Linked DNA regions of Pelodiscus sinensis. The protein of the gene in region 1 interacts with the protein of each later gene in a pairwise test. Links are inferred from orthologs where the notes say so. Each region holds a gene or a part of one and is shown in the gene's direction. Other genes may lie near its edges.

The links.
Region 2: the proteins of CEP70 (region 1) and ATP5PO interact in binary tests that used the Homo sapiens proteins (3 or more experiments, as listed by UniProt). The two-hybrid records come from large-scale screens. The link is inferred for Pelodiscus sinensis from reciprocal best matches to the Homo sapiens genes CEP70 and ATP5PO.
Region 3: the proteins of CEP70 (region 1) and TSGA10IP interact in binary tests that used the Homo sapiens proteins (3 or more experiments, as listed by UniProt). The two-hybrid records come from large-scale screens. The link is inferred for Pelodiscus sinensis from reciprocal best matches to the Homo sapiens genes CEP70 and TSGA10IP.

What each region holds. Positions count from the first base shown.
Region 1 is NC_134717.1:12,118,016-12,125,510, forward strand, and holds the start of CEP70 (centrosomal protein of 70 kDa), read left to right. Parts: upstream 1-4,493; 5' UTR 4,494-4,596; intron 4,597-4,630; exon of another isoform or gene 4,631-4,784; intron 4,785-4,813; exon of another isoform or gene 4,814-5,292; intron 5,293-7,495.
Region 2 is NC_134711.1:183,989,601-183,997,345, reverse strand, and holds the start of ATP5PO (ATP synthase peripheral stalk subunit OSCP, mitochondrial), read left to right. Parts: upstream 1-4,727; 5' UTR 4,728-4,913; coding exon 4,914-4,943; intron 4,944-5,242; coding exon 5,243-5,293; intron 5,294-7,745. UniProt on the Homo sapiens protein: Subunit OSCP, of the mitochondrial membrane ATP synthase complex (F(1)F(0) ATP synthase or Complex V) that produces ATP from ADP in the presence of a proton gradient across the membrane which is generated by electron transport complexes of the respiratory chain.
Region 3 is NC_134721.1:33,087,833-33,095,171, reverse strand, and holds the start of TSGA10IP (testis-specific protein 10-interacting protein), read left to right. Parts: upstream 1-4,321; 5' UTR 4,322-4,336; coding exon 4,337-4,483; intron 4,484-4,923; coding exon 4,924-5,105; intron 5,106-5,712; coding exon 5,713-6,407; intron 6,408-6,659; coding exon 6,660-6,855; intron 6,856-7,339.

The sequences.
Region 1 (7,495 bases):
GGGATTTTCAGGTCTCTCCTCCATGTCGGTCTTCTCTCCTGAGCCTCTGGTCGCTCTCTCTCTCTCTCTCTCCCCCCCCCCTACTGCCTTCCCCCTCTCTCTGTCAGCTCTCCTCCGCCTCCTGCTTCACTCTGTGTCTCTCTCTTTCACTTCTCCTCCCCTTCCTGCCTCTCGGGGGATCGCGGAGCCCAAATGGCCATTTGGGCTCCGTACTCCCCATGCTGCATGGGAGGGGCGCGGATCCCAAATGGTCGGTTGTGCCGCTTGCTCCCACACAATGGCCCGGCTGAGCAGCGCAGAAGTCAGCCGAGCGCCATGGCGGGAGGCGAAGGGGGGCAGGGTGGTGAAGTTCACGGCTAGGGGGCAGGGCTTGGAGCCGCTGTCATGCCACACGTCACCACCCTGCCCCCCCTTCGCCTCCCACCATGGCACTCGGGTGACTTCTGCTCTGCTCAGCCAGGCCGCCACGGGGGAGCAAGCGGCGCAAGCAGCTGTTTGGGCCCCGCACTCCCCATGCAGCATGGGCCGCTCAGAGGGAACAGCCAGTATTTCAGTAACAGTGCCGCCCAGAGGGAACAGCCAGCATTTCAGGCAACAGCGCCCCCCCAGAGGGAACACCCAGCATTTTGCGTTACAGACTCACAGACAATGGGCTACTATATATATGATTATACTGTAAATCTTTTCTAGTCTATTAAATTCAATCTTAACAGTTAAATAAATATCATATAATTGAGTAAATTAAAGAAACTGCAGTTAGTTCAATGATTTTCTAACTTTTGTCTGCAAACCCCTAGAGGGCTGCAGACTATGTCTAAGATTTCCAAATGGTTCTGTGCTTCCATTTGACATTTTTAGGGGTCTGCATCTGAAAAAGTGTTGAAAACAAGTGGCTTAGGTAATATCTAATGTGTGTCTACATGCATGTAAATGGTGCATGCATGTATTATGTATTCATGTCAAGAAAATAATATGCACATCTATAGATCTTATCAGAAATGACCATTAAATTTCAGATTGCAGACATTTCCAGACCAGTTTATACTGAATTGAATGTTCTGGCATTGTTCCTTTTTACCTTACTTCATCTTCATAGAGAGTAATCTCTTCACGGGATGCCATAGTAACCAATACGGCCTTAAATCCAATTAGCAGCAAGGAAAGAGAAAAGCAGAATAGCAGCAAAGAAAATGTCGAGTACTGCAGTTCCTCTTAATTAAGAAGTAATCCTTTTTCCAATTTAATATCCATTTTCCTCATTCTTTACATTTAACACACAGGGATATTTTCACAAGAACTTCCACTAACCCTAACATAAAAAATGTAATATATTTCTACACTTGATACAACACAGGCAAATATAAATCAGTACCTGAGCTGAATATTTCACTTAATTTATATTTGCAATTTATCCACAAAGGTTAAGGGGACATAATGGAAGACCTTTTGATTAACTTCAGGTCAAAAGGCTAAGATCCTCTGAAAGAGATTCACTCCAGATCAAAGTTTTGTGTGTCAAGCATTTTTCCCTTTGAGATATGTCAGTTGAGTATGTAATCGTAGTGAAAATTCACAGGACAGCTATACCAAAAAACAGAATGTACATAAAAACGATACACAAAATGCAGGGAACTTGTAGAGAATGTAGTCTCAAAGAAAAACAGGAAAAGAGCTTAACACAAGAGGAACCTGGGAGGATATGAGGCTTAATGTGAAAGATACTTCAAGTTCTTCATTCTCGTGATTATTCCAGAACAAGATATTGAACAAGTACTATGGACTCCAGAACATTTATTTAAGGCTACATTGCATTTCCAACAGATGTGGTGAGTTGCCAAACAGCCACACATCAGCCCTTCACACATCCTCTATACCTGTCAAAAATGCATATGTTCTGGAACACCATAATCAGTGCTTAAGGATGTTAAGTAGTAGGTAACTGACTAATCATGTACTCGATACAATTTGTATCGAGTACACGATTAGTCAATAAGGGGCACAGTTGCAACTGCAGTTTTAAATATCGTAGGAGCCAGGCATGCAGGCAGCCCAGCTCCTACTGTATTTAAACTGCAGAGCCGCAGATGGTGTAGGTCCCATATCCAACACAAGCTGGGACTGCTGAGTCCTGGCTCATGCCGGGTCTCGATCTTACCCTGCTACAGCTCTGCCTTTTAAATGTAGCAAGGGCCAGGCAGCTCTTACTACATTTAAAAGACAGAGCTGCAGTGGTGGACCCGACGAGAGCTGGGACTCAACAGTTCTGGCTCACACCAGGTCCCTGACTACTGCATCTCTGTCTCCCCTGCACCACGAAGACTGTGCTAGGGGGAACCAGCTTTTAAGCCGGCTTCCCCCAGCACTGCTTCCCCTCCCCTGTTTACTGACTCTATATTAGAGGCAGCAAGGGAGCGAGTAGTCAACTCGACTACCCGATAAGCCTAGGCTTATCAGGTAGTCCACTAATCAACTACTATTTTACATCCCTATCACTATTTTCCCTTCTCCAAGCTTCTGCATTGTATCAAGGCATTTCAATTAATCTATCATTTTTTCCCATTAATAGAAATGCTTGGAAAAACGATAAGGATATTTGATCACATATTAAACTATAACATACTTTTGAAATTTAGTACATATTAGTCCGCAATACTCCTAGAATGTTGTCACTTATTTATCTATTTTGTTGAATTTTGTTTTTCTATCCTATTTCCATTGTGTCAATGTTTTATATACGTTCTGTTAGTTTTTTTAACCTAGTCTTTAATGTAAAATATAAACATAAGTTAAAAAGACCACTCAGTATGTCCCTGCTGCTGCCCCTCCTCTATGCCATCTTTAGAAGTCCAGAAAACTTGTAGCAATGGAGTCAGATTCACACTGATGTTATTTCTTTTATATTCTTGGTTTAGGGAGAGAAACCACATTGCTACCAAGCTTATTACAACATGGGATGCTGATTTTAATGACAGTGCAACTGAAATATGTGATGAAGCAGAATATTTCTGTTGGAAGGAAGGGGGCTGAAGGGAACAAAGGTCTTGCCCACATCAGCTCCTTCCGCAGTTATGGCAACTAGCCCGAGCCTCATGTTGTGGAATAGAAAGCTGCAAAGGCCACTGCCTTCCTCTCAAGAGGACCACCAGAGTCAAGCTCTATTTGGTATGTTACTAGGCTGGTTTACTGAAGACCCTCAGCACTTCTCATCAGCATGTTAGTAGTTGAACTTGACCAACTAAACTTAGGAAGTACATTTATGACAAATCACCTAAACAGCACCCTCATCTCAAAATAATCTATGAAATTTGCGCTACACAAATTGTGTATCTTATTTCAAGGTTATTTTAAAATAGTTTATTTCAAAATGTAGTCCCTTAACCCTTGTTCCACAAAGGTTACAGGGATTCTGGAATAGCGCATTCGTTATTTTGAAATAATGGGCACCTTTAAAGACATGAAATTGCTATTTTGGGATACTTCCGGTATCTCGAAAAAGCGCCACTGTCTAAACGTACCATTAGAGACTAACAAAAATACATACAGCTTCAGAGGGGTAGCCGAGTTAGTCCGAACAGGATAACCTTAAAAAACAACAGATAGTTTGGTAGCACTTTAAAGACTAACAAAAGATGGAGATGGTATCATCCAGCTCCATGTTTTGTTAGTCTTTAAAGTGCTACCAGAGTACGTGTTGTTTTTTAAGGTTATAAAAATACATACAGTATCATGAGCTTTTCTGGGCAAAACCCACTTCCTCAGATGAGATGATCTCGAGTGCCTGGGTTTTGGCCAGGAAAGCTGGTGATTCTCTGTAGATGTTGTCTAGGCTGGCGGCTCAAGACGCTGGTTTTTTAAGTTACAGACTAACAGGACTTGTTCCCGGGAGAGCGCCAGTCCCAAAGCGCGAGGGGCGGAGTTGCCCGTGTGTCCCCCACCGCCACCGGGATCTCCAGGGCGGCCAATGAACAGGGGCCACTTGAATAAAGCAAAGGGGCAGAGGGCTCCGAGGCGCTCCCCACGCGGGATTAGCCCGGCGCTCGGGGCAGTGACCGCGGAGCGGGGCGCTGCAGGCCAGGCTGGGCGGAATCGCAGGGACCGGGGGGGGGGGGGTCAGAAGCCGCCCAGGCCCCGCTGGGCTCTGGGGTGCGACGAGCCGGCAGCGCCCCCGAGGAGGAAGGGCGCCAGCCTGCCCGGGGCTTCTCGTACCTGGGCGCGTCTCGCTGCACACCGCTCCCCGCCGCCGCGCTCCCTCCGGCCCCCGCGGCCAAAATGGCGACAGGGGCAGGGAAGCGACGCGCCGCGCATCGATCAGCGCGACCGCCCGGCGCATCCACTGGCAGCGCCGCTGCCGCCGGGCCGGGCCGGGCCGCGCGCGCCCTGGGGGCGGGTGGACTCTAAGGCCGGTAACGGGCAGCGGGCCAGGCGCGAGCCAGGGCGCTGGGGGCGGTTCCCTCGTGCCGGGGCCTGGGAGGGGCAAGCTCCGCCTCCGCCGGGGCGGGGCCAATCGCCGCCAGCAGCGTCCTCTGGCTCCGCCCCTCCTCAGTTGTAACGGTCGCGGCGGAGCGTGTGGCGGCCGGAGGCTGAGCTCGGGGCCAGGTGGGGCGGGGCTGGTGGCGAGCGGGGTGGGGGCGGGCGGAGCCGTGGCCCTACCGGGACATCCCCCCTCCCCGTGCCGCGTGCGCGGGTCCCGGCCGCTCAGTGGTTCCGTCCTCGCCAGGCCCGGTGCAGCGCCGCCTGCGCTCCCCTCCCCTGAGTCTCCTCGGCTCCCTTGCGGGCGGCGGCTGGTGAGCGGGGCCAGGCCGGCTCTTGCGCTGCCCCTCCCCGAGGGCCAGTGGCAGCGCCGGCCGGCGGGGTGCCGGGCTCTGGGGGGCAGGGTCTGGAGAGCGGGTGCTCGGCGGAGACCGCAGCAGCCGCGGGGAGCGGGGCAGCATGGCCGAGGCTGGGTCGTAGGTCGGCAGGTTTTGCTGGGTGAAGGAAGAGGGGTTTTTAGCCAGTCAGTGAGTGTTAACAGCAGGGGGCTAACGCAGGCATTTAACCAGCCGCCCTTGGCCAGAATACCCCCTCATTAAATACCCATCGTCTGCCCTTGTGGCCGGCAGCCGGCCTTGCAGCTGCGCTCCAGAACAGCCCTGGTGGGGATTGCCAGGTTTTGGAGCACTCAAAATCTACTCGCCTGGGCCCCCCAGGCTCTGGTGTGCAAGGGCAGTGTGGGGAGTGTCATCTCTGGGCACAAAATACGTATGTGCACCCAGCTGACTTTTCTGTGGGTCAGCGGCTGCTCATTGACATCAGGTATGTAAGGTGGGGGAGGACTGTGCCAAAGCATCAGGCATAGCCCCGTCCACACTCCGCTGTAAGCGTTCTGGGGGCGGAGTGTTGCTTCCCCCTGCACCAGCACTCCCAGTGCTCCAGGGTTGGGGAGGCCAGGCTTGGCTGCATGGCATGCTCTCTTCCCTCCTTTGGTGTTCTGGGACTGGACAGGCTGAGCTAGACTGGGCTGTTCCGTGCAGCATGGCCTGCCTCCTCTCTCCTCCAGTGCTCGAGAGGCTGGGCTCGGCCAGGCCACGTGGCATGTTGCGCTTTCCAACAGTGCTGGGGAGGCTGCGGCGACTGCACACCTCCTCCCCTCGGTTGGAAGGGGGGAACATGCGTGTGGTGTGCCATCCTGCCTCCTAGGAGATAAGGAAAGGTTGGGGCTGGAGGGGTTCCCCATCCCTATTCTGGAGGCTGCTGCAATACATGGGTTGATCTGTATCACAATCGGCTAACTACGTTAGTGAGTGGGCCGCATGAGTGGTCCTCCTTCATCTTGGTTGCAAGATTATCATAACCAAGATGGCCTCCCAGAATAGTGTAGTTTTCCTAACCTAGTTTTGCATACCTAGCATTTGTCAGGTGTGCTGACTGAATTGTGTGGTCCGTACTCATCTCTTTTCACGTGCCCTTGCTTTATGTGAACGTCACTTTAGCAATATCAGTCGGGGGAAAAAATTAGATGGAGACCAGCAGAATCTGGCAACCTTGCACTTGGGCAGTGGTGAACAAAATGTCTTGCAAGCCACACATTGAACTTGGGATGTTAATGTATAGTTGGTTACACAGTTAACCGATAAGCCCAGGCTTATTGATTAATCATAACAACTACATGCAAATTCCCTCCCCCCTTACCGCTTCTGATATTTCAAAGGTGGAAGCCGGTGTCTATAGGAAGCCAACTTTTAAGCTGGGTCCTTGTGCTTGCCGCCTCCCACAGAGCCATTTGCCTCCCACAGAGGCAGTAGCGTGGGGGAGGTGGGAGCTGACTCCCCCCTGAGCACTGGCTTCCCCCCCGCGCTGCTGCCTATAATAGGCATCAGTGCCCGAGGGAGAGGAAGAGCAGATGGGAGCTGATACACACGGGGAGCTGGCTTTTAAGCTGAATCTCTGTGCATGCCTGCTCTACAAAAGCCCCCACCTCCCTTTGCTGCCTCCCACAGAGGCAGCAGTGAGAGGGAGAGGGGCTTCTGCATGTCCACCTCCTCTCTCCCCATGTTGTTGACTCTTTGGAAAGTGGCGGGGCAGGGCGTCACGAAATCCAGCATGTGCGAAGAGCCAGTTTAAAAGCCTGCTCCCCATGCATGTTGGCTCCTGCCTGCTATGGCCCCTTGGAGCTGGCACGTAAGGCAAGCCAGTTTTCAAGTCAGCTCGCCACTGCTTCCCACAGAGGCAGCAGCGCTGGGGGGGAAGTAAAAGGGGACCAGAGCTCAAGAGATCCAGCTTAAAAGCTGGCTCCTGACAAGCACTGGCTCCTAGGTAACCGCCTGCTCCTCTCCCCGATGCTGCTTGCTCTTTATCGGGGGCAGCTGGGAGCTGGTGCTTGCACCTGTCCCCCTGCATGTAAATGTGTAACTGCTAAAATTTTCAGGGGTTAGACATTTACACAAATGATAGTTAACATTCCTACATTGAACTCTGATGGGCCATAGGTTGCCCACCACTGGTCTGTATTGCATCTTGCACTGTAATATAATGGTACAGGTTGAACCTCCCAAATCTGGGACTCTGGTCCGGCAACATCCGTGGTCTGGCAGGGCCAGCGATGTTGCTGGACCAAACAGCCCTGGAGCAACATAGGGCTGGGGAGCCCCAGTTGGGCCAGGCTGCATTTCGGGAGCCCCTGTGCTGGCCTGGAACCCCCAGCATCAACAGGGAAAGCCAGTGGCTTAGGACCCTTAGCCCCAGCCAGGCTCCTGCCCAGGCTGGGGAAGCCCCCGTGTTAACGAGGCCACATGGCTGGGGAGTCCCGGTGTAACCCTCTACTGAAGTGGGGCTGGCAGAAGCGGGCAGCCGGAATCCCCAGCGATGGTGTGGACCTGGCTGGGGAACCCCCAGCGGCAGGAGGGCCGACGGTGGCCGGGTGGCCCTAGTTGGGAACTCTGGAGAACACCTGGCGGCAGTGGGACCAGCAGCGGCCAAGCGATCCCCGCCAAGAACCTTGGGACACCCTGGGGCAGTG
Region 2 (7,745 bases), on another chromosome or scaffold:
TCAAGGCCTCATTGTGTAGCAATAAAGATGGATTATGATAAACAACTGACTCAGAGATTTATTACTGCTTTTTAAGGAAGTGAATAAGACTATATGTCATTTATATGCAGTCTGCACTAAGAACATTCCTAAGGCATTGACAACAGAAAGGATGTAAAAAAAAAAATTTCAGATATATAGATAGAATGCAAAATTCATTTTTATGCTTTTCAAGATGGTATCCAGATTTGACCCCTTTGTGGCAAAGCAGATATTGCTCAACCTAGTTAGGACAGAATAATATGAGGACATTAACATTCAGATATTAAAATATTGCAAGAGAACCCAGTTAAATCTTTACACTGAATGCAAAGACATTATACTTAGCACTTTAAGTTTCAAATTTGTATTTACATTTAAGTTTAATATTTGAGGATTTTGCTTCCCTAATTTACATACCCAATTTGTGATGTCTTTTATCATCCCTGGCCAATAATAGTGTGAGATCAGCAGAATTCTCATGTTAACTACTCTTTGATGTCTGCTCTGTAGACTATCATGATACTGTTCAAGAAGTCATAAGGGTTGTTTCATGGTGTGTACAACTGCAACCTTTATTCCTTCTGCAGAATGGCAGAATGTCTCCTCTGCTAATCAGAGATTAAGCTTTGCACTTTAAAAAAATCAGATATTTTCAAAGACATATAATATAAGAGATATCTGGATATAGTATGGATTATCAAGGCTTGAATATAAAGGAATTTCACTATGTGGTTAAAATTACATGTTGAAATTTATTTAATACTAGAACTCATTACTCAGTGAACGTATATGGGTTGTTACCGTTTGTGGTTACACTGGATAACATACTTAAGAAATACAAAGTTAAAGGATTTTTTTGTTAATATTTATAATTTATGTTCATTTCCATGTAACTGACAAATACATTTGTTACATTGCTTCCATATGTAGCTAACGAGATTTTCTAAGAAGTTTGAAGAAAGACAGTGATCCTAATCATAGCCCCATTGAAAGTAAGGTTAACACTTCAAATAATCCCAGCGTTGGGAAGGCAGGGATCAGGATCGTCACCTATATGCTGAAAATTCCATTGTATTCTGTTTCTTTATTATATGAAAAAAATATTGCTTGCCTTTTAAAGAAAAGTTGGCAGAAAATAGACATAAGTTAAACCTACCCATTTTAATTGTTCCTTTAAGATGTGTTACTTCTCTTATACGTCAAAACCTCTGCAATTTTCACCTGAAAAGATTTCCCCGAGTATTGTTCACAGAAGAAAACATTTCACACAGTTAACATTTACAAAATAGCAAACATGTAGTATCTAGCCATATAATAAGACTTTATTTTGTAAGTATGATGTGTAAATTGCAGACACAAGCAGGGTAAGCCAAACTCAAAAATGCAGCATTCCAAGGCCAATCATAAGAGTGATGGATGTAAATTTGTGCTATGTGCATAAAGTTAGATCACCTTTAAGATTTTAGCCAATTAAAGTCTTAATAGCTCAAGACATGAAATATAACAGCACAAAAATATGAATTTCCAAAAAAAATTGGTTAGCAGGCATCTGGTTTTCAACTACAAAACCCAGTCAAAAAGAGACTGGCAGCTCTGGCTGGCACTGCCAAACAGGAGGTTAAAAGTTCAACTGGCAACGCAGAGAGAGCCTGGGGCTAAGGCAGGCTCCCTACTCGCCCTTGCTCCACATCAGGGCTGGCCTTACCATGAGGCGAACTGAAGCAGACACCTCAGGTGCCAGACTGGAGGATAGGGGGCACCACTAGGATAGAAAATTGTGTCTGCTGCTGGTGCATATGTAGGTAGCAGAGCAGTCCCATGAGAGGAATAGAACAGGAAGAAGGCACAACTGAGACCTTTCAAAGTTTTGGCCCAAGCGAGGGGGCATGGGGGCATCATTTGAGCTCCCTGCCTCAGGTGCCACATGGCCCTGCTCCACATGGAAACAGAAAGCATTTCCCTCCAGCTCTTAGGGGAAGATTTGGTGACCATTTGTCCCGTTTTTAACAGGACAGTACCTTATTTAAGCTGTTTTGCTGGTGTCCTGACTTTAAAAAAAGCGGGAGGGGGGCAATTATCCTGTGTTTCTGCTCCCCCTGCTGGTCAATGTGCAGCAGAGGCCTCCTGTTTGTAGCTGGCAGATGATTGCAGGCAGGCGGTGGCCAGCAGATGGTGCTCTCAGGCAGGGTGCAGAGGCAGAAAGACAGGAAACCAGTAGGAGAGCCAGCCCCCTTTTCTCACACAACTATTAGTATTAACTATTTATAACAAAAAAAATCCATTCTACCTTGTTTTTAGTTGAGAAACTTCTAACTGACCATAGTAACCTAGTGTTGCAAGTTTCCAGAGTGCAATCTATATTCACTTCTTCCTTATCAGTGCAGCTGTCATTTTGGCAAGTTCAGGAATGTAGCCTTGCGCATTCAAAGGTTCTGCAGACACTGCTGATCATCCCAAACCTGTATTACAACCCAATCTCACCAGCTGGAATTTGTTTCTCAGGCCCAGAACCATTACTCCACCATCTGCAGCTGCTCTGTGAATGCCACCACCAAGTGTGAATTGATCGTTGCTATGTCCCACAGCAATCTCTCCTGCATGGAATCATCTCCCTCAATGTCTATTCTCCAGACTCAGTAAATACTGCAGGATTACACAGCTTGCAATGCTCATGCCAATAGTGCAGAGTTATGCAGGTTCTATGCTTCTACCAGAGGTGACAGACAGTGAGGACGGCCATGCAGGTTTGTGGAATTTAGGGAAAATGGTGCAAAAATGATGTATAATGTTACATATGGACAATGTATGAAATTAGGGCATGGTGAACACTGCATTATGGGAAGCTGATCTCTTGATCCTAGTCACCCCAGTGCAACCCATTTTGGTCCCAGTACAGGTTGCCAAAACTTCCCAAAAATACAGTGCTGGATGGTGGCAAGTTGCACAGTGAGCTATCTATGCTGCTCCATGTTCTGAATCAATATAAGTGGTTCTGGTGAGTACACTCACCACTGACACAAAAAGTTAATAATGGCACATGCCACCGTGACATATTAATTGTGGCAATTCTATGCTGATGTAACTTTTGTTAACATAAGTTTGCTGCATAGATATGGCCTTTGTTATACGCAATGTTTGGAAGTAGCAACAGGAAAAGTATGCAATGGGTTTCAAGAGTCATTCAGGTGTTCAAGTTCCTGCTTTTGTGGAGCTGGCCCTAAAGGTTTTGGAACAAAGAGGCATAATAGAACACAATATAATTTATTTTGTTAAAAATTTAATTACATGAAGGTATATATCTCATGATTTTGTAATTCTTGTGGTTGTCAAGCTATGTCAAGGTTGTAGCTCTGTGCTTATGTTGTGAAGGCCAAAACTATAACTGGGTTCAAAAATAATTAGATAAGTTCCTCAGGATAGGTCCATTAGTGGCTATTAGCCAAGATGAGCAGGGATGCAATTCCTCTCTAGGTGCCCCTAAACCTTTGACTGACAGATGCTGAAAGTGGATGAGAGGGGTTGAATCACTTGACTGCCTATTGTAGTCCTTCTTTGGAAGCACATTGGAAGACAAGATATTGGGCTAGGAGAATTAGTTTAACCAGATAAAGTCAACCTTTTGTTCAGCAAAAATTAAAATAGGTTTTTGCCTTTGAGAATGATTTAATATGATAGTATACTGTCCCTTACTGACTATTTGAGAATGAAGTTTTACACACAAGAAATGAGATGCAAAAAAGCATTGAGGGCTGGAGTGAGGCAAAATAGCAGTTGCAAAAGGCAATTCTCTTTAATGGATCAAATGAAAACAAAGTTTTGACACCAGGCTAGGCAATCTATCCGACTGGCAGCTACAATGATCCATCCGAATAAACTTGTGCTATCAAAACAAGAAGTGAAAAGCAAAAATTCCAAAATAAAAATCACAATAAAATATATAGTAAAGCTATTCTAGAAACACGGCTGTCATTGCTAAAGCCACTAGCAACTATTTACTTGTAAGTACTTTCAATGAATATTTACTATGCACATAGGCATCCACTCTGCAGTTGCACCTGGAGGATCCAAGGGGGAAAAGAAGAACTGGCGCTTACGAGTAGCTGCGGGTGCTTTGCAGAGAGCTGCTCTCTTGTAAGTCTGTGCTACCGGTAGCAGTTTCTGATCCGGCCGCCAGCTGTTCTGCAGCTTGCAGGGGCGGGGCAGGGGCTGGAAGAGGCGGGGGCGCTGGGGAAGGGGTGCAGCGCAAGGAGCGGCGCGGAGGCAGCAGAAGCCGGGTGGCCGCGCTGAGAGCAGCACGCGGCGCGGGTGGCAGGCAGCGCGAGGCAAAGGCGCCCCGCTGCGCAGCCAAGCGATTGTTAGCAGGGGCGGCAGCGGGGCAGCGATTTGCCTCCCTGCAGAACTGACGCGCATGGGCACAGCAGGGCCAATGGTTAGCCAGCGGGGCCCTGCGCCCCGCCCCGTAGCGCCTGCCCCGGGCGTAACTCCTCCCCCTCCCACCACTTCGCTCCTCCGCCCCGCCCCGCCCTCTGCTGTACAGCGCAGGCGGCAGAACCCGACCCTAAGTAAGGGCGGGGCAAGAGCAGCGGTTTTGGGATTGTTACCGCGCATGCTCAGTCGAACCCAAACGGCACCACATTCTTTCTACGCCTGACGTAGGTAGTGTGGGGACGTCTCGGGGCTTCCGTACCCGGCTCATAGCCCCGCAGCGTGGGCTCTTTCCGCCTGGCGGCTCACGTCACGTTCTCCGCGCCGCCCGCTGATGAACTACAATTCCCAGGAGTGAGCGGGGCTGCAAGACTCGCTCTCCCAGCGTGCCCCGCAGCGGAGTGTGCGCATGCGTCCTGGCCGCTACCGAGCCAGGGCCCCGCTTTGACCTACAGTAGCAGGAGACGATGGCGGCGGCCGCGGGGCTCCCGGGGAAGGTGACCGGCAGCGCCGCCCCCGCATCCGGGCTCGCGGGGAGGAACAGGGCCTGCCCCCCCCCCCCCCCCAGTCCAACGGTTCCTCGGCGGCCGTTGTCGCCCCCCCACCCGCGAGCCAGGCTCGGGCTCCTGGCTTCGGCGGGACGTGGGGGAGGCGGGTTCGCTCGGGCTCGCCAGGCGGCCCCGGGGGGTGGCGCGTGGCCCAAGCGCGGGCGGGAACCCGGGGTCGCACGCGCCGGGCCTCGGGCCTTTCCCTCCGGAGTCGCCTAACTCGAGTTTTCCGTCTCGCCCTCCTCCAGCTGCGCTTCTTCAGCACCGCCCTCGCCCGGCCCGCCGCGCCGCTCGTCAAGGTGCGTCCGCTCGCTCCCCCGCCCGGCCCCTTCCCCCGCCCCGAGCTTCGCTGCCCCGGGGCGCGAGTGCGGCAGCGCCGCTGGCTGGGGACAGGCAAGTGCCGCTGTGCGCGCCTAGGGGGACTGCCAAGAGCGTCTGTGCCGCCCGCACCTGAAAGGCGGCACCGGCTTCAATGGGGACGCCTGGCGTGGAACAGACTTAAACCCCTGGAGTGCCCTGGAATAGCAAGTAAAATGCAGGACTATGTAGCACTTTAAAGACTAACAAGATGGTTTATTAGATGATGAGCTTTCGTGGGCCAGACCCACTTGCTCAGATCAAAATGGAATAGCAACGCTGCTTAACTGAGCTGCCTATAAGTTATGTTAACGCAGCTTATGGTTAAGCTGGTTATTTTTGGTTGAGTTTCTCTTGTAATTCTGAGATGTGAAAAAATGAAGTATCATATTGCTGCCAGCTTTTGACTCTTCCGTGTTGTTCCTTTCTGGTATCACCCCTTGACAGAGTAGGTGAATGACGGGGTAGAACCCTTTTTTCAGTACATGCCTCCTAACCCCATACTGTCTGTTGAGTACTAGGAGGGATTTTCTGTGTGTCTGTACCTTCCAGTGTAGCAGCAGCAGCAGAAATGCTTTCTATCAAAAACGGAATTCCTTTTACCAGGGCTTCCTGTTTAAAGTGATTTGAGTGACCACTCTGCTGCAATCCTTCTGGCATTCTAACTAATTGAAACTGTTTTAACTGTGTGAAGTTAAGCTTGATGATTCTACCAAAGAACTGTTCAGAAAACTGAGTTAAATAGTGTATTTACTGGGGTCAAGATTTTCAAGTGATTAGTAACTTTGGGTGACCAGCATAACATTAATAAAGGACCCAGCATCAAGGATGGAAGAGGGGCTGCTAGGAAGGTAATATAAGATAGGGACAAAGAGCAGCCTGAGCCACCTGTTTGCGTGGTGCTGAGACTTTCTAAGTTTGAGGGCTCTGAGAACTGCCTTTGCTGTATTGATATGGGCTTTCTGTTTTACACTAGTGACTGAGTATCAGAGGAGTAGCTGTGTTAGTCTGATCTGCAAAAGCGGCGAGGAGTCCTGTGGCACCTTATAGACTAACTGAAGTGTAGGAGCATAAGCTTTCGTGGGCAAAGACCCACTTCGTCTGCATCTGACAAAGTGGGTCTTTGCCCACGAAAGCTTATGCTCCAACACTTCAGTTAGTCTATAAGGTGCCACAGGATTCCTCTCCACTAGTGACTGAGACTCGATTAGTCACTACCTTCTCCCCCCCCTCACCTCCACCAGAGGCAGCAAGTAGAGGTGGAGCAGGAGCAGGAGCTGGTGCTGGGGGAAGCCGGCTTAAAATCCAGTTGCCCCTAGCGCTGTCTCTGGGGGGCAGGGGAAGCAGAGGCACAGCGGGGGAAACAGTGCTAGTGGGATTTAAGCAGTCCCCGCTCATGGCTGCTATTTCCACTGCAGCGTTTCAACACTGTTGGGCTCTTGCTACATTTCAAAGGCTGAAGTGCCACAGTGGGATCATGGGGTGAGTGGGAACTGCTTGAGCCCCCCACTTGCCCGGTGCTCCCTGCGGTGCGCCCCCCTCCCCCCCCCCCCGGAATACAAGCCAGTGCTAGGGGGAACCAACTTAAAAGTTGAATCCTCCCAACAGTGTCTCCGGGGTGTTCTCACATCTTCTCTCCCCCCCCCCCCCCAATCAGAGGCAGCGGGGGGGGGGGGAGGAATATGGGGGCCCCTGTCTGTTGGAGCAGCCTCTGTTCAAAGCAGCCAGGACTAGTTGTGGGCAGGAGCTACTAGATTCCACACAAGCTGGGACCAAGTAGTCCCAGCTGGCATGGTTGCTGTGCCTCTACATTTTAAATGTAAGACCCCAGGGGCTCTTACTACAGTAAACTTCTGATAATATGGCACCTTTAGGACCCAGGAGGTGCCGGATTATCAGATTTGCCGGACTATCGTAAGGGGGGGGCTATGAGGAGTCTGGGGTGGGGGGATGCCACCCCAGGCCCCTCATAGCCCCCCCCTTACGATAGTCCGGCTCTGTCCCAGGCGTCCCTGATTCAGCTGCTGCTGGTCAGTTTCAGCAGCGGCTGAATCGGGACACCTGCAGCAGAGCAGCTGGAGTGCTGCCGGGTTGGTCCGGTAGTGCCGATCCTTGGCACGGCGAGACCAACCCGGCAGCCCCCCAGCTGCTCTGCCCCAGGTGTCGTGATTCTGCCGCTGCTGAAACTGACCAGTGGCTGACTCCGGGAAGCCTGAGGCAGAGTTGCTGTGCCCCAGGCTTCCTGGAATCAGCCCCTGATCAGTTTCAGCAGCGGCTGACTTGGGTACACCTAGGACAGAGCAGCTAGGGCACTGCTGGATTAGTCTGGTAGCACCAACCCTTGGCACTGCGAGACCAACCCAGCAGCACTCCAGCTGCTCTGTCCCAGGTGTA
Region 3 (7,339 bases), on another chromosome or scaffold:
TGCCCTTACCTGTGGGCTTCTTACCCACCAACAAACAGTTCCAACTGCCTCCTGGTCCTGGAACACCCCTTCCCCCACCCCCTCCATAAAGTCCAGTTCTCAGCTGCATCTGAATGGCATTAACTGGGCAGGGCTTCTGGGGCTGATCTGACCATGGAGACAAAGTGCCCCCTCCAGCCATAGCAAGTTCTCCCCAAAACACACACTGAGGCAGGGGTGTTACAAGGAAGCTTGCCAGGCCACTACTCTGTGATGGCTACCACCAAACTGCCCCAATTCAAATTGGGCATTGAATTTACCCAAAAGGAGTGGAATGGGGGAGGGTTCAAGTGCCACAGCTGAGGTGCTGATCTCCCAGCACAGGTGCCCCAGCTCTGCCACCATAAGCAGCAGCACCTGAGTCAGCAGAGAAAACCAGGAGCCACGCCCCCTACCAAATGTGGCCTAAAGGCAAGGGCTGTAAACAAGTGCCAGTCACACAAGCTGTAATCAGAGACTAGTGCCCTCATCCCTTCAATGGGCAGCCTCCCTGCTCTGACCAGCCTCTAACCTCTCTCAGCACCCTCGTGCTATGTATATACCCCATTATTCATCCCACTCTATGTACCCCCCTTTTCTCCCACTCCATGTGCTACCTGGCCTCTCCATGTTGTATATACACCCAAATATTCTCCTCCATGTGCACACCCTCTTGATCCTGTCATTCTGTGCACCCCTGACGTTCTCTATCCTGTATACACACATATCCCTTGCCCCTTTCTCCCTGCCCACTGTGCAACCCTCACCATCACATATGCCCCTGCCCTGACTCTGACATGTGCATGTCACTCCAGTTCTCTTTTCCCACAGCAGCACACACACACATATACAAACCCTGGGGAATGCTCCCACATTGTCATGTTGGGGCTTGAATCCTCAGGAAGCCAAGGGCGTGGGAGAGACAGGGAGGGAAATAGCAGGCGCCAAGATGCTGCTCCAGAGCCACAAATGGATCCTGAATGCTTCTTGCCCAATGTTGCCAGCCAGTCAGGGTGGCGCCAGGAATGGGAGAAGAATTCACCACCCCAGGGAAGGTTTAGGCCCTAGCACAGCTCAGCCATCTTGGGAGAAGAATTACACAAAATGGCTTCCAGCAGCCATCTTTGTGTTTCCACTGACCTGCCAACAGCCATTGCATCTTGTCATGCAGCCATCTTTGTGCCTCCCCTATTCATGACCATTCTCCTCCTTGGCAGCCATCATTGTGCCAATCTTTCTTGGAAGTCATCTCTCTGTGTTATTACCCTGACAACCATCACCCCTTCTCTGGCAGTCATCTTTGTTTTGGAACTTAGTACTGCCCCCTAGCTCCATGGACCTGTGACGACTGGGAAAGGGGCACCCCCACTTCCATGCCAGCAGTTGCACTGTAGGGCAGCATCAAGATTGGGTATCATTTCCTAAGGGCCCAGGCCTGGGAACCACTGGCAGAGCTGGGGGGCCCCTTCCCTGTGGGTCTGTGTTGAGGCAGAAGAAGCAGGCTCCATGGAAGCCCCAGCTCTGCTGACCTCAGCCCTTAAAGGAGCTGCCCTGCTTAGAGGAAGTGAAGGGGATACACCTCACCTCCCCCTACTGCATTTCCTCAGTAGGGTTGCCAGATGGTTTCAACAAAAATACCGGACACACTTGACATTACATCACAATCTACATTACATCTTATTTAGAAGATACTGGACATTGATATTTTCTCATTTATATTTTCTCAATTTATTTCCCAAACAGAAAGCTCAAATACTGGACTGTTCTGTTCAACACTGGACACCAGGCAACCCTATTCCTCAGGGAGTCTGGGCCAGTGAGCCAGGGCTGCAGAATACCTCACACTCCCTTTGGGTATGTCTACACTACCCCCCTAGTTTGAACTAGGGGGGATAATGCAGTCATACGGAGTTGCAAATGAAGCCCGGGATTTGAATTTCCCGGGCTTCATTTGCATAAAGCCGGCCGGTGCCATTTTTAAATGCTGGCTAGGTCGGACCCCGTGGCACGGACTAGCTAGTTTGGATTAGGCTCGTGGAACGAGGTATACAGCTAGTTCGGATTAGGAAGCCTAATCCGAACTAGCTAGTCCGTGCCGCGTGTAACCGCGCGGCACGGGGTCCGACCTAGCCGGCATTTAAAAATGGCGCCGGCCGGCTTTATGCAAATGAAGACCGGGAAATTCAAATCCCGGGCTTCATTTGCAACTCCGTATGACTGCATTACCCCCCCCTAGTTCGAACTAGGGGGGTAGTGTAGACATACCCTTTATTCCCAGCACTTCAGCTTCCGCTGCCTAATCTAGAATACCCCAGTGTCCATTGATTTCCAGTGCCCCTGTACATCCATTCCCAGTAACCCCTATTGCCCATCCCAGCTGCCAGTGACCTTCCCTATTCCATTCCCAGTATCCTCACATCACCCAGCCTCTGCTGTTCCAGCTCTTGCTGATAGCACCCCATCAGTCCCCCCAGCCTCTAGTGTTTGGCCCCCATTACTACTACTCCAGTCCCCAGGGCCCTTATTACTCCTTAGTGCCCCCATCTCTCCCTTGTGGTGCCCCATCAATCCCCAGCCTTCCCTTCACCAGCCTACAGTGTCCTCCACTGATTCTCTCTCCACCTAAGATCTATTGCCCCTCCTCCAATCCTGTTTATCCCACAGACACATTTGCTCCTGGCAGAACCCCTCCCCCCTGCAGTTGTTGTTATTGCAACAGGAGCTGTCAGGGGTTATTAATAAGGCCAGTCCCAGCCCAGAGCCCCTGCCAAGCCAGTTCAAGGGGAGGGGAGGGACTCAGCCGCTTGTTGTTGTAGCATGTTTTGCAGTTAACAGTGTCCTTTCTGTGCCCTGCTGGAGAAACACAGACAGAATTCCCTAGACTCAATCTGCTCAGACTTTTTCTCCCAAAGATTCCTCCACCTCACCCCCACCCCCAATCCAACCTAACCTATCCCCACCAATTTCCACTTGTCCAACCTAAGCCTCAGCCAAGTCAGAACCCCACTTAGAGCTACAATAACTGAGCCTGAGATCTCCAGCTCCCTCTCCAGCCCTAGTTCCCTCCACCAGCCTTAAGCAATGTCCCCTTCCTCTGGCCTATGTCGATTCACGCTCCACACAGAGTTTGCATCCCCAATCAGGAGCCCCACACTCAGGTTTACATGATCCATAAAGTGCAGGAAAGAGGAGTGAATTTAAAGGAGGCCATACCCTGATCCCCACCATCTCTCCCCTTCAAAGTCTGCAGCTGGACACCGAGAGATGGGACCTTACAGGAACCTCCTGTCCTGGGAAGAGACAGGAAATTCTGGGAATCAGAGGAAACAGTGTGAAGCAAAAAGGAATTCTTGCTCCCCCTCTGCCTGGCTGGGCTCCCAGGCAGAGATGTAAACAAGACTATAATTATAGGGATCATGGCTGAGAATGAGCTATCCAGGACTCTGGCTGTTCCTACAGGGGATTAGTGACTCAGTGCTGTCCCTAGTACCTCAGGTGATCAAAGGGTAAAGTGCTGCAGAAAGCAGTATGGGAAGATCAGAAGGGGGAATTCTCCTTCACTGCAGGCTCCCAGTGCCCCAGAGTGGACTAAGGGCATTGTGCTCCTGGCAGGCACCATCTTTAAGTTCTGCAGTAAAATCCAGGGGTTTGTCTCTAATGTTATTATTTATTTGCATTATAATAGCACCAAATTTGGTGCCTCATTGTGCCAGGTGCTGCATGGATCCCAAACAAGATTGGGATCCCATCACTCTGGGAGTTGCACAGTGACAGTCCTTGCACTGAAGAGGTCACAGTAAAACTATAGAAAAAAATGAGGGAAACTAAGGCACAAAATGGGATGGGGGGAGGCAGAAGAGATTTTCAGTTGCAGAGTCAGGAATAGAACCTAGATGTCCTGAGTCTCAGTACAGTACAGTACCCCACCTTCTGGACCACATGTGACCCTAGAGATTGCCTTCTCCCTTCTCCTTCATCCCTTCCCCATGGCAGATACGCGCCAATATGTTGGATGGGCCATGGCATTGTTCTGAATGATTGTGTGTTCCTCATGCCTTTTATGAGCTGCACAATGTCCCTGAGACTAATGTTGCCCCTCCCAAGCTTTCCCCTTCTTGGGGATCTAACAGCACAGTCTCTCCCCTCATGGGCTGCTGGCCAGGATCAGAGCCATGGTCTGTCCTTCATCCACAGTTACTATGGTGACCATATAGTGGGGGTGAGGCCAGGCTCTGGAACCCTCCCAACCATGGCCATGTTCTGGAACATGGCCAATCACCACAGTAACAGCTGGGGGGGGGGAATTCAGGTAGGCACCATGTTGGGGGCCCACCGCCACTCTATGTTCACCAATGCTTGCATCAGCCCCTCCCTGGATCCCAAAGCCCGGGCGCCTGGCACCCTCTACCAAAAGAAGGGCAGGGTGCACCTGTTAGGACTGCTTTCAGGCTCCCTTCCCCAAGAGGTAACTCCTGGTACTCCCTGCCCCCTTTGTGTACTGGCATCCCACAGTCCTTGGGGGCCCAACATCTGTTTTCGACCACCCAAACTCTACCTTCCTCTCCCTGCTGTGAAGGACTCCCACAACGGGCAAACACCCAGGGAAAAATTTGGGGCTGCAGTTTGTTTTTGTAGGGTCTCCTTACCTGGCACGTGTCTTTCTTTCTCACTGTCCTGTGTGGATGTTTGTAGAGTGACACTGCTGGCTAAGTAGAGAGAGCAAGGGAGTGGAGTTAGGATGCACTACTTCCAGCTTTAGGAGGGAGTGTGGTGACTAGTGGACTAGGTAGTTTTGAGCCAGGACCTACTGAGGGAAAGGCTTCCTGTCCCAGTCTCTGTTGCCTGAGCCAGCCAGTCCCCTAGAAGAAAAGCCAGGTCCTTCTTGCCTCTGCTCTGCGGTTTCAGGAGGAGGTTTTCAATAATGGTGATGGAATCGTGGTCTTGATGAGGAAAGGGAGGAGAAAGGGGTCACCCAGAGGTCCCCCCTCAGGGAGAAGAGGCAGCCGGGTCCCATGCTGCAAGATGCAGGAGTCCTGTGTGAGTGACACCTGTGATGGGGACCAGGACTCGGCCCAATCTGCAGGAAGGTAAGTAGGATGGATGGGATCCTTATGGCCATTGGGCCAAACTTATGCTTGCTGCTGCTGCATAGAGATTTTATTAGTAGTGTCCACATGTGCCGACTGAGATCAGCACCCCTTTACGGCATGTGCTGCACAGATCCCAAGACCAGGGCCACAATTGTGCTGTGCACTACATAGACCCTGACCAAGATTGGGGCCCCCATTCTGCTGGGTGCTGCCCAGGCTCGTCAACCCAGATCAGGGGTCCTCATTGTCCCAGATGGTGCACAGATCCAGACCAAGATTGGGACTCCACTGTACTGGGCACTGGACCGACACGCAGTGAGAGACAGTCTCTACCCCAAAGGGCTTGCCTTGTAAAGAGACAAAGGGAGAAGAGTGGGTTCTACTGGGCTAGAGCCATGAGGAGGGGGGCAGCTAGGAGTCTGTTGCTGGCTCAATGTGAGATGTGGTCATGTCTATGGTATGCCCTGTAGATGAACCCATTGGCTTAGTCTAGGGTAGCTGGATAGGAGTAGCGATGCTGGGCTCATTAGCTGGGGGATACCAGGCTAGGTGGCTCCATTGCTCTGATCTGAAACTCATCATCTCCTTTTCTCCCTACCACCAGGCAGAGAGACATTCCTAAGGACCCATTTCCCTCCAAGTCAGCTCCTGCCTGCACCCTTGATCGCCCACCCCATTGCTCCCGCCCCTCCTTCCCCTTCCAGTGGATGTGGGAGGAATTCTCACTCAACGGCCGTGCCCTGCTCCCAGCCCCTTCCCTGGACCAGATGAAGAAGGGGGAGCCCCGCAGAGCTCCCAACAACTCTCCCCGTGAAAGTGTCCACCCCAAGAAGATGGGTTTGCATAGACGTGCAGACCAATGGGCTGGCAGCTCACAGGGGCACAGCAGCACTGAGGGGGGCAGGGTTAAGCGAGTACCCCACCCCACCTCCAGCAGCCTCTCCCCACTGTATTGGAAGATGGAGGCCCGGAGTGAGGCCCGCAAACGCCAGCTCCGGGAGGAGAGGAGGCACTGGCTCCAGCTGGCTCAGCAGTTGCTGAGTCTGGAGGAGGCTGTGTCTTCCCCGGCCTGGGAGACGTCCACCTCTGCCCAGCAGCTCCGGGCCAGGCTAAGAGCTGAGGCTCTGTGCCTGGCCACAGAGCCACAGGACCCAAGCCCCAGGGGGCACAGAAGGAAGGGCAAAGGGCTGGCCCCCAAAGACAAGATCCGGTACCAACCCATCATTAACCGGACCATCCCTGACTTTGAGACACTCCACAAGAGGTTCCAGGAGCAGCTGGAGAAGAGGAAAGTGAGAGGTGAGCCAAGGAGATGGATGCAGTTGCTTTTGGGGGCTGTTTAAACGGAACCTCATGCCCGGCACTGAGATGGAGCTGCCTCTGATGTGGGACTGCTTATACAAAAATCCCTGGAGTAGGAGGCACAAGGGCTGATTATTCAGAGACTCTTCCCCTGGCAATTAAGATGCAACTGTTTCTGGCGTGGGAAGTGCAGCTGATGGGAAGGTTCAGGAACCCTCCATTAATACTTTCTGTGTTTTCCTCCACCAGCCAAGATGACCATCTACAAACCCTTCCATCTCCACATGGCCAGCAGCTCTCAGCACCAACCTGGGGACCAGCTCAGAGACTGGGAGCAGCACCAGCTCTGGAGCTTCCACTGCAGGTCCCAGTCCTGCTCAGAGTTCGACCCCTTCCTCTCAGTGCCACCCACCAGAGCCTCTGACAAACGGCAGGAGGCCACCAGGTATGGACAATGACCTTCAGTTCATTCACACCCCAGTTGTTCCAGCCCTGGCTTCCCTCAGCTCTGCTGCGGCCCCTCTGCCATCCCCTCCCCAGCGCTGCTGGTCCCCCATAATCCTGACCTACAGCTAGGGTGGCTACTCATGCATTCCAGAAATACCAAACATTCCAGTGCTACTGGGAATGGCAGGAGCCCACATCTGCCAGTGCCGCACAAGGGGCGCTATTTTGAAGAGCACACAGCCCACCTCTGCCAGCATCATCTGACACATGTGGCGTGCATGCCAGGTCACACCAGAGGGGGCAGAGAGGCACTCTTCATTATGGCATCTCTCATCTGATACTGGACAAAGCCACATTGTTTTTCTCAGTACTGGATAGAAAGGCAGGATAGTCTGGCTAAAAGCAGATAACTGACATGCCAAGCTAGAGGCCCCTGCTATCCCAGGCCTGGGTTTCAGCACACACTGCCCTCCAGCACAGCC